Linked DNA regions of Danio rerio. The protein of the gene in region 2 purifies or fractionates together with the protein of the main gene of each other region. This does not show direct contact. Links are inferred from orthologs where the notes say so. Each region holds a gene or a part of one and is shown on either strand. Other genes may lie near its edges.

The links.
Region 1: the proteins of nelfa (region 2) and nelfe purify together in Homo sapiens (affinity purification with mass spectrometry; 9 studies listed by BioGRID and IntAct, counting the BioPlex papers as one, with this or other methods). This does not show direct contact. The link is inferred for Danio rerio from reciprocal best matches to the Homo sapiens genes NELFA and NELFE.

The regions. Positions count from the first base shown.
Region 1 is NC_133194.1:29,343,969-29,351,501, reverse strand, and holds the end of nelfe (negative elongation factor E), read right to left. Parts: intron 7,095-7,533; coding exon 7,057-7,094; intron 6,967-7,056; coding exon 6,707-6,966; intron 6,564-6,706; coding exon 6,419-6,563; intron 5,497-6,418; coding exon 5,442-5,496; intron 3,936-5,441; coding exon 3,833-3,935; intron 3,724-3,832; coding exon 3,650-3,723; 3' UTR 3,466-3,649; downstream 1-3,465. UniProt on the Homo sapiens protein: Essential component of the NELF complex, a complex that negatively regulates the elongation of transcription by RNA polymerase II.
Region 2 is NC_133182.1:24,475,464-24,484,224, reverse strand, and holds the start of nelfa (negative elongation factor A), read right to left. Parts: upstream 4,912-8,761; 5' UTR 4,841-4,911; coding exon 4,631-4,840; intron 2,313-4,630; coding exon 2,141-2,312; intron 376-2,140; coding exon 214-375; intron 61-213; coding exon 1-60. Other genes in the region: nicol1 (NELL2-interacting cell ontogeny regulator 1 precursor), read left to right, coding at 7,685-7,781. UniProt on the Homo sapiens protein: Essential component of the NELF complex, a complex that negatively regulates the elongation of transcription by RNA polymerase II.

The sequences.
Region 1 (7,533 bases), on a different chromosome or scaffold from region 2:
AAAATCTCTTTGCAGAATGTGTGTGTTCCCTGTTCATTGCTGTTGGACTTCCTTTTGTTGGTACAAGTAGTGGCAAGTAGATTTAAAAAGCTAAGAAGCTGAAGCTAAACCAGAGGCATTAGACAGGTCTAGCCAGAATACATAGATTTACCTTTTTTGGAAGACTGGGCCTGCTCTCATATTATGGATGCATGTTTTACACACCCAGACAACTAGACATCTTCTTGGCTGTGACTCAAACTAAAATCTCCTGAATATTTAATGGAGCAAAACTCAAAAACTGAGGGTAGTACCCTCTGTGGCTATGAACTGCTTTTTTTTTAATACAAAAATACATGTATACATATCTCATTTCGCCATTGCACTTTTCACCAATTTACTTTACCACTTGCCTAATCTGGTGTACATCAGATTCCACTACAGGCACTCATGATAGGTGAGGTATCGTCAATTGTACTATTGTTTCATTCTTTAAGTGTTTAAGTTTGTACTTTGCGATCAAATGCCCTAAGTCCTTGTTTCTAACAGTACATTTCTGTCCTAAAGATGCTGTATGTGACCTTTCTTTTTGGTTCAAAATGAACTAAATTTATTTAATAAATCAGAACAATAAGAATACATTTTTCCAAGCTGTGCTTTTCTGTGCAGAAAAATAGTTCCGGTTCCAGTGTTGTTTGAGAAGAGGCATGACATTTATTTTATTTATTATTTAATGTATTATCCACTAAAGCACCAGCATTTGCATACTGTAGCATATGCATATGTTTCTTCATGGACCTCTCAGTCTCTCAACTTGCACAACTCATTATCTATCCATTGATTTTCATTGTTTCAGCTACACTGAGATACTTTTGAAAGCATAGGAGAGCTTTTATTCTCTTCATCTTTGTACTTTTATTGAACAAAATTACCTGAATTAATTGGTTAATTTTTATTTTTTTTTAATTGGTTAATTACTTTACCTACTGTCTGTGGAGTCATGTGAACCCGTTCTGTTAAAGCTGATTTATACTTTTGCGTTGAATGCACGGGTATTGTCTGGCACAGCCTTCACACCTTAAAAAAATATAACGTTGAAAGTTTGCAGTACATTGACCATGATTGGAAAGCTAGATGCCTTGAAACAGCATCTTTTCCATTAGAATACAATTATTATTTACATGAAACTTTTATTTACTGAATATTCAAGAAATGCACTGTTAATAAAATATTTACATGATATGCAAGAGTTATTTTATTTAGAAGACATACTGCTTATTTTCTACTTTAAATAACTTGCACTTTTGGAAACAAAATAATCTATTTTTTAGTGTTTTTAATTTTTAATAAGAAAAAAACTGACTGACTTTAGGCAATGTGTGCTTTAACTTTTTTAAAACTATTTAAATCACATAAATAATCACAGATAGTAGATAGTGTGTTTCCTTCAATTATTTTAAAAACAAATAACGCTTCCGTTATTAAAAAATCAGTGAACTATGAGGGGAAAAAATAAATTGAAAAAATGATCATTCATTCATCGTAATCGAGTTAAAATGTTCAATTTATCAAGATTTTGATTTTAGGCCAAATTGCCCAGCCCTATCTTAAATTAGCCCAACTTTTAAAGTCAGAATGTATGCATTTACAAGATACCTGACAGTAAATTAACCACTTTGTTTTCATTGAAAAACTGCTAAGATAATGTCGCACTTTTACAGATTGACTGTTTTTAATGTGTTGCACTTCATTCATTCAATAATAATAATAATTAAAGGATATGATGGTAACACTTTAGAATAACTATCCGTTATAACTAGTTAATAGACCATTAATAAACTGTTAGTTAACAAGTTATAAATGACTTGTTAAATAAAAGTTAATAGTTTGTTAATTATTTACAACTGTGCCTTATAGATGGGCAAGGGATAACTTACAAGCCGTTAGTTGACAAGTTGTAAATGACTTCTTAACTGTTTTTTAATGATTTATAACGTTACCTAATAAATTTTTAAGAGATCATGAACAAGCTGTTAGTAAATTACTTAATAAAGACTTGTTAAGTATCAGTTATGGTGTGTATATGTTATTGGGACGTTATTCTAACATTGCAGATATTTTTCATTTATTAACTGTTAGTTAATGAGGAATAGTTGCAACTTTAGAATAACGTCCCAATAACATGCTTAAGCTAATAACTAACACTTAACTATTATATTTACTCACACTTTACAGACGAGAGTTGTTCATCGTTTGTTAACCATCTACTTATACCAATGAATCCTTGTAGAACAGCAAATGGATGGAATAAGTTCAAGCTACAGAAATTTGATGTAATATTTAAAATATAAAATGTTTGTTTCTAAACCTTGTTCCACTTATAGGCTTTTCTGTGTGCTGTGTTTTACCAAAGAAACTCCACAGATGAAATGTTAAAAGTTGTCTTTAATGTATAGAAACACACATACTGAACCATGACATGGCAGTACAGCAGTATGCAAGAATACAAACCCATGAAGTGCTAAACATGAAAACAAAATAAATAAAAATTTAAAATTACACCAGTGGTCTAATAAAAAAGTTTCACTGGTGTTATTATAGGGTGAACAACTGATCTGTAAAGTGTGAGTAAATATAATAGTTAAGTGTTAGTTATTAGCTTAAGCATGTTATTGGGACGTTATTCTAAAGTTGCAACTATTCCTCATTTACTAACAGTTAATAAATGAAGAATAGCTGCAACTTTAGAATAACGTCCCAATAACATATATACACTATTAACTGATACTTAACAAGCCTTTATTAAGTTATTTACTAACAGCTTGTTCATGATCTATTACTAATTTATTAGGTAACGTTATAAATAATTAAAACACAGTTAAGAAGCCATTTACAACTTGTCAACTAACGGCTTGTAAGTTATCTATTAGCCATCTATAAGGTACAGTTGTAAATAATTAACAAACTATTAACTTTTGTTTAACAAGTCATTTATAACTTGTTAACTAACAGTTTATTAATGGTCTAATAACTAGTTATAACGGATAGTTATTCTAAAGTGTTACCGATATGATATTCTTTCTCAAACAAATTCTTATTTTATGGGGCAAGAAATAGGGAAAAAAAACACAGGCCTACAGAGTAATGTGTGTATATAAGGTTATTTATTTCTGTATGCAAATGGTTTATGTAACAGTGCATGCCTGTGCATTTGTATTCTCAGTATTCTGTTTCCCCTTAGGCAATGCTGGAGCACTGCAGTGTCTGAACTACAGCTCATTTCATCAATAGCATCTAATGTTGTTGATTTTTGCAGGGAGAAGCTTGATCCACACAGCAGAAACCCAACAATTCAAAGCTCAGCCTGGCTTTTAATTTCTGCCTCCGAAGGTATGCTTTATTGACGTTTCATTAAAACTGATTTTTTGCACATTTACAATCAGAATCGATTGTGTTTGCACATATTATGAAGCGTCACCCCGCACATGTTGATGGAAAATTTTATTGACTGATTTATTGAACACAATGACATAAACATGAGTGGGCTTAATGTCCACACTGAGCGTTATTAATAACCGAAAAGTAGGATTTACTTCTGTGAAAGTCATGTCTGCTGTACCTAGACAAAATCTCACGCCGACGTTTTAAAACAAAAGCAAATGTCAAGTAACTAAAGGAAATCTTCACTGTAGACGACCTGGCTCCGTTTGTCTCTGTACGAGCCCTTGGCACTGTTCTGCACCGCTGTGAAGGATAAATAAGGAGGAGATAGTAGAAGGAGACAGAAATAGAAAAGGGTTAGTCAAGTGTGCAACACTCTGGCAGTTTTCGCCTGTGAAATGTCCTTATTTACCAAGAGAAGCCCAGACAGATTTCCCTGTGGCGGCATCCAGCATGGGCTGCTTCCTGGCAATGCTGACTTTGATGTTGACGTCACCCACAGTGGTGCCATTCAGCTGACAGACAGAAAGAGTTTTCATTCAGCAAACGAAGAAAGATACTACAACCTATGATTATTCACACACACTTAACCCCTAATCATTTCTAAGCTTATCATATCTATTTTGCTAGCATACATTGTTATTCTAGTTTAGTTTATTTATTTAGAAAGTGCAATAAAACAACAGTTGCTGACCATTGTGTTGTACAATCCTAAAAGCAAATTATCAAAAATAGACCAACAGATAAAATACATCCAACATACCACAAAGTATCAGCGATAAAGAAGACACCAGGGGCCTCATGTATCAATGCTGCGTTCGCACAAAAACTGCATACGCCAGATTTCACTCTTACGTTTGGATTTACTAATGATGAAATAAGCACCTCCAATTCACATTCTGTTCAAAGGTTCTCTTTTTGCTTGCTTTTGCCATTGCTTTTTTGTTTGGTTTTGCCAAAGTAGAGTCATTACCATATTCATTAGGGGGAGGAGGCAGGGAGGGGTTTTGTGTTCGTGCATGTGTGCTCAGTTTCACGTTAATTCAGATGTACAAAGAGAATATGCGTGGGATTCCGCGTACGCACTGTTTCATACATCTGAATTTTTTACTGCGTACACACATTTACAGCTTTGTGCGTACGCAATGTTTTAGTATGAATTCAACGCAAGTCTTCGTGCAGATAGGTACATTTCGGCCCCAGATAGGTACAAGAGGATCAATTTTCTCCCACCTACTACAGAGAAAGCTTAATCTCCTTTTTTCATCTATTTGGATCTGGGAGCGACTAGCATTTTCTGGACCTTAAACATCTGCCAGATATTTGAACAGTATTAGGATTAGAGAGATAAGTCGGAGGCTGGCCATTTAATAACCTAAAAATCATATATTACATTTTTAAACTCCATTCTAAAGCATATCGGCAACGAATTTAGGGAGCACAGGATAGGAATAACGTGTACAAACTTGCGGGTGGCAGTAAGAAGCCTACCGGGTATGGAAATACATCAACATACTAAAATAAGTCTCAGCAATCGCGTGTGTGTGTGTGTGTGTGTGTGTGTGTTAACTTCATAACGACATTGTGTGTGACTCATCGTTGCAGAAAGGCTTGAATTAACTCCACAACAAATTCATCAAATAACCATTGGAAAAGTTCTTACTGTAGTAAGAGAGATCTGCTTCATTCTTGTCTGTCACTGTGCTGTTTATCTAAGTGAGACGCAGCAGGTAAATGCTACTCCCATGGTATTATTCCTGCACACGCACGTGGTAACAGTAGTTGAGGAGAACTAGCTCAGTTGCAATAAAGGGACAGGCTACAAAACAAAAACAGCTACAATGTCCTAACAGCTCAAATTTCCCAGATTTAAAAAGATATAATAAATAACCTGATGGGTGTTTTGAGTAGAAACTTTACAGACACATTCTGGAGACACAAAAGACTTCTCTTGAAAAAGGGGTAAAATAGGTGCCCTTTAAAGTATAAAAGTATGATGCTGCTGAAAGTGGACTACTGACCTCCGCCACAGCCTGGTCTGCTGATTCGATCTTCTCAAAGGTGACAAAAGCGCAACTGGCAAAAGAATGAAGGCAAAAATTATTAGTTCAATATTGTGGCTTCTCTCAGACATGCACTGCTTTTTTAAAAGACTGGGGTCTGTAGGGTTTTTTAAAAATATTATTATATTAACAAGTTTGACAAAAGGACGGTTCACCCATAAATGGAAATTCTCTCATCACTTTATTTCCCTTCACTAGTCCCAAACCTGTTTGATTGTAATCCAAGTAAGAAAGACATTTTTGAAAAAGGAGGTAAATATCCAATATCCCAAATCAGAACCCTATTAAAACAAGGAATGGAATAGTACAACTAATCTTGGACAATGTTTTCCAAAGTTAAAATCGACATCTTTGCTAAAAAATCTCTGCAAATCTAGGTGGCACTATACTTGAAATTCATTAAGTATTGCATTCAAGATCAATTGTTGTGCCAATTTGTCAGCTTAAAGATATTTATTGTTTAAAAGATAATACAATGTCAAAATTGGCCTTTATTTTCTGACAAGCTGTTGAATAGTCATTTTTCAGCTCTCATGTAGGTAGCACAGTATTTAAAAGTAGTTCTGAAAGGTGAATTTAAGAAAATATAAACAGAATAACTATTGTAATATTTTAGTGGTGGCACTATAGAGTTAATCTTAGAGACCCCAATGTTGTCAGATGTTCAATTCAATGTGCTGCCATAGACTTCATTTCAGGAAGAATAATAATAGTAGAACTATTCAGCACCTTAAGATTTTACCAACCCCAAACTTGTGAACGGTAGCATACCTAAATACTTGAAAAATGACCCCATTTCAACTTCTAATAACTTTCCTAATGCTTAGACTACAACGGAACTCATAACCAATCAATCTTCTAAACTTTACTATAGACAGTTAAGAAATCAGTTTGTCTCTTTCCAGATGCCCAGCATTTTAAGAAAATAATCTTACTTGCGTGGAGAGTCCATTGAAAGGTCAATGATGTTGCCGTGCTGAGCAAAGGCTGTGCGCAAGCTGTCCTCCACTAAACCGGTGCCGTACACATACACTGTGTTTCCTTTGCGCACACCTCTGCGCTCTGGATACGAGTCTGACCCTGAACAGATTTTCAACAGAACAAGTTTAAAAAAAGCCAAATGCATGATTTACGGTTTACTATTATTGTAAAGACACAATATGAACACTGAATGGGTTAATATTATTTTGAATGAACATTTGTAATTGCGCAGATTGCCTTACGTCTGTAGGGTCCATCTCTCTCTCTGTCTCGTTCTCTGTCTCGATCCCGGTCCCTCTCTCGATCTCTTTCTCCATCCCGGCTCCTGTCTCGTTCCCGTTCCCGGTCCCGTTCTCTCTCTCGACCTCTTTCACGGTCCCTTTCTCTGTCTCTGTCTCTTTCTCGATCTCTCTCCCAGTCCATCTCCCTTTCCCGGTCACGCTCAGAATCTCGACTTGGCATTCCTGCCTCTTCATCACGAGATCGATCTCCAGGAACAAAACTATGAGATCATTAAAAAAACAGCTTTAATATTGACCACAACACTGTTTTAATAAAGATGTTTAATTATTAGTATTATTTTAAGTCTCACCTCTCGTAAAGGGATTTCCTGTGGATTCGTTTAGCGGACTACAAAGAGAGAAACATGTCAAGTCTACAGACACTACATCCATTCAATATTTTCAAAGACTTCTTCATTGATATTTAGTTTAGCACATATGTAGACATATTTGCATACATATACATGTATATAATATTTTTTTATGTTTTGGAAACAAGCTCAACAAGACCATAACAAACTGTAAAAACTATAATGTTATGAAATAATATTACATAAAAATAGACCTATTAGAAGGATTTCTGAAGGATCACATGACACTGAAGTTTTAAAATATATTAAATGCAATATACAGTTGAAACCAGAAGTTTACATATATTCTAAAAAGGAACATAACCTTTTTTTTTAAAATAATGTCTGATGGTAAATATACTAAACGTTTACTATTTTAGGTCCATTAGGATTACCTAAATGATTTACATTTACTAAATGTCAGAACAATGAGAGAAT
Region 2 (8,761 bases):
TTCCTTTGGAGTGGAAGGGCACTCCTGCGGTTTTCTTTAACTGTTGGGCGGTCTCTGTGGCTTTAGAGCAAATATCATAAGTATTAAACAATGACCATGGCAATCATCAAAGAAACATCAGGGTAAACTCTTTTATTAAATGACCACAATACATCCATACAGAAAAAAAGAAAACAGAGAGGGTCACCCATTTTTACAGGCACAAACACTTACATTTTTGCAGCAGCTCGGCTCGGAGTGTGGCGCTCTTGGGTTTCCTCTTGAGCTGGAAGTGTTTGATGGGTGGAGTGAGCGGCCCCACCAGCGTGGTCAAAGCACTCTTGTTCAGATACTGACACTCCAGAGGCAACATGGTTGACGCTTCACATTCATTTACTGTGTAGAAATACAACATGTTACAAAAGTACTACATTTTAGTAGGTCTTTTCACTAATAAATTAAAAAAGGTGTTCTAATAAAAAGGATGAATACTAAATGTAATGATGTATTATATAAGCATATTTCTAATTTGAAGGTGCTCTATGTGAGTTTTTGACTCTTCAATCGTAAAAAAGCATATGTTTGCAGATATACAAGAAACATACATGCAAGTACACATAATTGTTTATCTGACTAAAAAGGCTAAAGTCAGTTATTCTCCGAAAAATGTGTGTTCCTTGTCGAAATGTCTGTCTTTGTTTTGGTCTGAGTAACTCCACCCACTGCCAGAATGAAATGAAACTTGCCTCAATGTATGCAGGACAGTAGCAGCCTCCAAAATGAGACACAGATTCAGAGTTATAAAAATCCACATGAGGTGGTTTTTAACTAGCAACTAATATAATATGCTACAAATGTAAACATCAGCAGAGCAGCTTTCAGTGTGAGGATATGTGTGTCATCAATCTGGCAGCATAAACCACGGCGAATGAAGTTCTGCACAAGACTTTTGGCCAGCGGAGAAATTAAAATGGTCGTGCCCTACTGAGTCTGGTTCTCTCAAGGTTTTTTTTTTCTTCACTCCCATCAGGTGAAGTTTTTTTTCCCTCTCCGCTGTCGCCACTGCCTCACATGGTTCAGGATTGGTAGAGCTACGCATCGATGAATTTGCTCTTCAGTGTTTGAACTCTCAGTAATGATTAAATCACACTGAACTGAGCTAAACTGAACTGAACTGAACTTAAACACTAAAACCTGAACCACACTGTTCCAGTTACTGAACCAAACTGTTCCAGTTACTATGACCATTTATGTGAAGCTGCTATGACACAATCTACATTGTAAAAGCGCTATACAAATAAAGCTGAATTGAATTGAACCTGCACGTGCATCGAGTCGTTGAAAAATAAATACCCTCGCCAAATTTAGAATATGAACTGCAATCCTACATACTGCAATTTTTTTAAACATCACTTTTATAAATGTTAACATTAGAATTATGTTATAAATGTATTTAATATTGCTCTTTGCAACCATTTATGGACACAAAACATATTTTTAGATTTTTAGTCTGAGGCAGTAATACAAATATCAAAACTCACTAACAAAGACATCTTTCTGACATCAAACTGAGCAAAATACACAGCCCTAATATCTAGTCAAAGAAGTCAAGGATGGGGAAATATGTGGGCTGTAGACTGTTTTGACCCTCTCCTAATACTGCAATGGGCTATATGTCCACAGACTTTTACTTTTCAGCCAGGCAGCCCAATGACTTCCACTGAACTGTCTTTCCATTACAAAACTGTCATGTTTAAGATCTAATTTCTTTAAAAGTCTGTGATCTTCACTAGCTGCTAAATATACGATATGAAATTGGTCTCTAATCGGACAAGTAGTACTGCATTTAAATTCCATTTCCCCCCACCATGTCTTTAAAATATGAGTCAATCTTACCCCAGTATTTTCAATGGAATTTCTGCGCTGGCCTTTTGCTACTTCTGGCACAAGTGATTACAACAGTCATGTCATTTCACGCTTGAACGACTACATGAATGCTTTAGTCTATTTAACTGAATGTATTGTAATTACATCACAACATTGATGCTGTAAAAACAACCTTGTGAAATTGAAAATAGTCACATTAAGCTTTCACCGGAAGTTTATCATTGGCTTTAAAACCCTGGCTGTGCATAGAGCCCATTACTGATGTCAGACTGACCTTTCTCACGCAGTTCTCCAAGGATGTCCTGTACATTAGGGTTCTGCTCCTCCAGGTCCAGGTTTAGTGAGCCGGTCTCTGGGAATGATTTCAGGATGTCAGCCACCATTAACACCCAGGGCTCAGAGTCCACTGTGGCCAACTGAATGATCTCTGACAGAGCCTCCTTCATCTGAATTATTAGGGAAGAATCAAGAAAATCAGAGACTTAATCTAGCCAGACTGTTCAATGAATCTGCCACTAGTGCACTGACCTCTCTAACAGAAAACACTGCTATGGAAAAACGAGGCCACTTCCTCAGCTAATCTCAGGATGTGTTAGGTCTGGGTAAAAAGTTAATATTTGCTTTTTTCTATTAAAACCTGAAACATTTCTTCAGGAAAAAAGAGCATTCAGACAATTGTTTTTATTTGTTATGATTCAAAGTTATCACAACAAAGTTATGATTTCTCAACTTATCTTAAGTTAAAACATTGGTGATGTGTTGTCTAAAAACAAATAGAAACATGTAAATTATTATTATATGCTAAACATCTAACTGCAAAAAGAAACAAAGCTTAAAACGACCAATTAATTTTAAATTTAGAGGAAATGTCATCAGTAATAATATAGTAAATTTATTTAACACACTTCCCTCCAACACAAAGCTATAGATCCAGAAAACTCATTTCTCAAAACATTATTTAATTTAACTTTGTTTTTACATTATAGAAACTGCAGATTTTCTTTCCTGAGGCCATAAGCAATTGACAGGAATTCAGGCTAATTTAGTGAAACAATGAATATCTTACACTGTTTAAAAATACATAAATAAAGAAGATCAATAAACAAAAATGTCCAGGCAGAAAATGAACAGTACATTTTCAGATGGGGCTGCGTGATTAATCGAAATCAATTTGAAACGTTGCGACTAAATCGCAAGAGGCTGCAATATGAAATATATTTGTATTATTTAATTTCTCCTGCCCCGGGCTTATGCATGACTGCTGTCTGTGTGTGATAGTCTTACCAGCCAATTGAGAGAGCATAATTTGAGTGATGAGTGTCTTGCTGAAAAAAATCAGCTGAAAGTATTGCCAGTGACACTCAATCTAGTAGCAAGCAACAATTTCAGAGTTGTTTTTAGCCATGTTAACTTGCCAAGTGTTCTGTATAGGTGTATACATTCCTCCCTAATTTAAGTTTAACTTGTTTACAGAAAGGTAAGGTCATTTGTGTTTACTGTTTGCTCTAGGAAAAAAAATGACGGTTTCACTTCTGAATAGTTAAAAATACACTTGAATGAATGTTTAAGTTAATATCTTTTCAATAAAAAAATAAAAAATAAAGAGTAGTTGGATATTTTCCCCAAATCGCATGCACACACATTATCTATTTATTATTAGAATATTTTTATTTTTACAGAAATTGGTTGGCAATTTTCTTCCATATGTCAGGGCATTTTTTATAGTAAGTTATGCTACACTATTAAACACAAGACAATTGCATTTTTAATCACTCCATGTATGATTTTTTTAAAAACTTACGGTGGCACAGCAGGTAGCACAATTGCATCACAGTAAAAAGTTCACTGGTTTGAGGCTCGGCTGAGTCAGTCAGCATTTCTGTGTGGAGTTTGCATGTTCTCCCCATGTTTGCGTGAGTTTCCTCCGGGTGCCTCGGTTCCCCCACAGTCCAAAGACATGTGGTATGGGTGAATTGTTAGTTAAATTGTCCTTAGTGTATGCGTGTGATTGTATGTTTCCCAGTACTGGGTTGCAGCTGGAAGGGCATCCACTGCGTAAAACATGCTGTATAAGTTGCCATTTCATTCCGCTGTGACGAGGCTAGATTAATTAAGGCAACAAAAAAAAATTAATGAATGTACTTTGTATATTTCAAACAGCACAATGCAAGTACTATAATCCTTATTTTGTTAAAACCCCTTAAATTTGATTGAACATGGTTTTAACTCTACATAAATGTGTTTCGAGTGTGCACAGACGCTTTCTCATACTCAAAACAAGATTTTTGTCGTCTAAATACGTTTGTCATGCAGTTTACTACGCTGCCACAGTGTTACAGTACTACCACTGACTGTTATGACTGTAGTGTTTAGGCGGAAACTAGTTACTGGAGTACATTTGAAAAGGGGGCGTTTTACTCGTCCAAACAAATGACCAAACTCCATCAGAATAACATTAACTTAAAACAACACTGCCAAAGTTGACTGCACGTTTACATGCATGAAGCTATTAAGTTATGGCAGACCCGGGGACAGACAGCAGCCCGAGCAGAGCTCTGCTGGAGACTGACATGAGAAGACAGCAGCTGCAGGAGACTCATGGTGGAAGCCATGTTATTATTACACATGCAACACAGACGAGCCAGCAGCACACAACTACTAATAAACAACATGCCAACCCGATACAGCGAGCGACAGTCGGAAGTAAAGTCAGAGTGTGAGTGAGCGTGTGTGTGTGTGTGTGTGTGTAGTTCTGCAGTCGCACCTCATCCACGGTCCTGCGCGGGAGGTGCAGCATCCCCAGCAAGAGTTTCAGCTTCACCGGTGGCGAAAGACTGGAAAAACACAGCCGAATATTATCGATGACCGACACGGTGAGAAGGGAAGCGATGCTCGAAGGAGTCCACAGCTCGTCCGTCGATCCGAGTTTGTTGTGGAGCCACAGGCCGGTGTCGCTCTCCCTCATCGACGCCATCTTGGAAAAAGGCGAATAATGAGATCGGGCATTTTAACAGGCTACCTAAGAAAACAGACACACGCGCGCTAGGACCCGTGTGATCGCGAGCAGAGCTCGGAAAACTTTTGCAAACATTAAATGAGTGAGATGCACGTAACAGGTTTTGTATTGCATATCTTCGTTTTGTTTCTGATTTCACGTGTTATGTTTTGGCGTTGTAATGTTTAACTAACGTTAATGTATAATAAAACTACTTATTTTGGCAAACATTTTGTTTACATCTGTTTTATTATCATTATTAATAATACATGGCTTCTGCAGGTTTCACCAAGTTAAATTTAAGACTTTTAAGAGATTTGTAAGACTATTATAAATTAAATTTTAGCCTTATACAAGGATAAATGCTAAGGATTTTAATTGAATATCCCTGTTGTAAAAGATTTTCACTTGCCCTATCAAAAATTATTCATTATAATTTAATAAAATTAATAATAAAGTAATAATTTAATATAAAAATGTAGGCCAGGTCAGTATCTGAATAAATGGAGAACTTTTAAACAAATGTTACTGTAAGGAAAGTAATTAGATGCTATTTTTTAAATGAAAAGTTAAATGATTGGAATTGTTGGTGATAGTATGGGTGTTGATGTCCAGATTGGGTAGCTAAACATGAACAAGGAACAAAAATGAATGATAAAAAAGTCAGACCTACAACTACAACACAATATTTCAGTAAATTTTTAAGGTCTAAAATGTAGCTAGATTTAAAGATTTAAAAAGATTAAGACTCTGTGGATACCCTTTACATAAAACATTAAGCCACAAAACAAACAGCGTAATTTTTGCCCAAGTGTCGTTTTTTTATATATTAAGGTCAATTCATAAAGCACCGATACATGCTAACAGACGTGAACCGTCATGACATGTCACTTCTTAGAATCTACAACCCAACAAGCAACCAATTCAGCATTTTAAATCAGAGAAAAACAAGACTGGTCAGAAACAACAGCCTGTCCAGGCCAGTTTCCTCAGCAGTAAACACATGGGGAACTTTTAAACAAATATTATTATGAGGAAAATAATTAAACCATTATGGTAAATAGAGTTAAAAATGAAATAAAAAAATTAAATATGTAAATGAGATAGATTGTTGATGATTGTATGGGTGTTAATAGCCAGATTGGGTAGCTATACATGAACAAAGGAAAATTAAGACATGTAAAAAATTTACATGATTAAAGATTTAAGACCTACCACAAAATATTTCAGTAGATTTAAGACTTTTTAAGACCTTAAATTTAGCTTTTGAGATTTAAGACATTTTTAGAGTTTTTGAGACCCAGCAGATACCATGTAATAATAACAACAATCAATGCTAATTTTATTATGTGAATAAATGCGGAACATTTGTGTTTTGATATTCTCACTTTGCTTATTAAATTATGTTTCCGACAGTATGTTACACATCTATCTATCTATCTATCTATCTATCTATCTATCTATCTATCTATCTATCTATCTATCTATCTATCTATCTATCTTAGTATTAACATTGTAATGCACCTTCGTTCCGGTGCATATAGTAAACATTATGTGATTATGTATACAAACAGGCTAATGCAACAATCATAAAAATAGGGAAAACAAATATAACAGCTTTGAAATAAACATATATACAGTGCTCAGCATTTATAAGTACACCCCTTATAAAATTCATTTAAGTCTTTAAAATTCATATTTTCTATAGGAAGCTATAAAATATTATATTTGTTTGTATGCATTAGATTAGTCAGCACTGAAGCCAAATCTGGAGCTTATCTAACAAAACAACTTGCAATAACGGTCCAAAAACTAGTACAGCCAAATTTATAAGTTATAGAAAACATTAAATACAAATTTTAAAAAGAGAAAAAAAAAACCAGAGAAGTAACAAAATGGAAAAACTGAGTTTTTTGTAGGTTGCAAATGGTTTTGCAATATTTAGCTTGAATTTGATTGTATGATCTTTCAATATCTAAATATGTTTGGTGACTAAAATACTATTTCAATTAATTTATCTGTTTAATAATTATGTTTGGTTTAAATGCACAAAAATACATTGCCTATATTTACTGAGAAATTGATAAAAATATTAATTTTCAAAATGGGGTGTAACGTTATGCTGATCATTGTATACATTATGCACAACCTGGTAAATATATAACCATCTGGCGAACATACCATAACGTCCCCAATAATATCTGTGTAGCCTTAATTCATTCAACAAAATAAACAAACTTATTAAAACAAATGTTGATGTGAAATCTGTCTAAATCACATTATTAAAAAACAGAACATAGGTGCACTTTCAAAGCGAGGAAGGCTGAAATCCATGTGACCACCTGTAGCCAATGAGAGAGAGAAACGTCAACTGGGCTTCGAAAACATTTGGGACTCAATCCTACGGCGCACCGCGAAGGACAATAATCATAAAAACGCGATTGACGCTCCGCAACGAAACTGCGTCCTGTGAAGGAGGGCGGTGGTTTGACTAACGGTGCCAGTGTCTTCATCAGAAAACTACAGGTAATGCAAATTAGCTTGTTGTTCCACTTTAATTAGCATTAATAATGCACCTTACATTAGAGCTATTTGGTCGTATTTGAAACGGACCATATTTGTTAGCATTATCAAGACAAAGACAAAAATCGACAGGCTCTTTATTTACGTTTGTGCCAGACTGTCATTTTCAAAGCATTTCTCAGTTGTTATTCGCTTTTCTTAAAACGTCGTCTGAATGACTACATGTAATTATTAGCTCATTTGTGTGTGTGTGTGTGTTTTCTCGCTGTGGCAGGTTTATTGTGTGTGTGCGGCGACAGTATGAGGCCAAGCGGAGCTCTGGCGGCGGCGGCGGTGATGCTGATGCTGCTCGTGTGTTGCCAAGCCGAGGACTCAGGCTCGGTCATCCCGGCCGAGAGTAAGCCTCAGTCTGCTTTTTAGACGAGTGGGCAACAGACATGCATCATTTCATGTGTCATCATCGCATCGTATGCCCTGCGCTACGGTGTTTTCCTGGCTCTTGCTCAGCCTTGGTGATGAGGAAGCAATGCAGCCTTGTTGTACTGATTCTAGTTTGTAGTGTAGTCTGGTTTTAGCTTTGAGGGGGTGAATAATAGACTACTAAACAGTTTTTATGGTTTCTCTGTATTTGACATTAAAATAGGTTCATATTTTTTTACTTTGTAAAGTCTATCTCTCTCTATACAGTTGGAAGTCAGAATTATTAGCGCTCCTGAATTATTTTCCCAATGTCTGTTTAACGGAGAGAAGATTTCTTCGACACATTTCTGAACATAATAGTTTTATTGACTCATTGCTAATAACTGATTTACTTATTTTTTTCTATGATGAGAGTAAATAATATTTTACTTGATATTTTTCAAGACTTGTTTACTTCTATCCAGCTTAAAGTGATAATTAAAGGCTTTACTAGGTTAATTCCGGTTAATTAGGTTAACTAGGCAGGTTAGGGCATTTAGGCAAGTTATTGTATTATGATGGTTTGTTCTGAAGACTATCGACAAAAAATATAGCTTAAAGGGGCTAATAATTCTGTCCTTAAAATTTTATTTAAAAAATTAAAAAACTGCTTTAATCCTAGCCTAAATAAAACAAAAAAGACTTTCTCCAGAAAAAAAAAATATTATCAGACTTACCGTGAAAATGTCCTTGAACATCATTTGGGAAATATTTAAAAAAGAAAAAAAATTCAAAGGGGGCTAATAATTCTGACTTTAACTGTGTATCTGAAATTATGGAATATTTCATATTGACCAGTTGACATTTTCTGCAAATAAATAGTGTAAATGATAACAATCTTATTTAAATTTTTGTTTGCCATAAAATAAAGCCAAAAAAAAAAAAAAAAAAAAAAACAGCATTTTATATAAAACTATA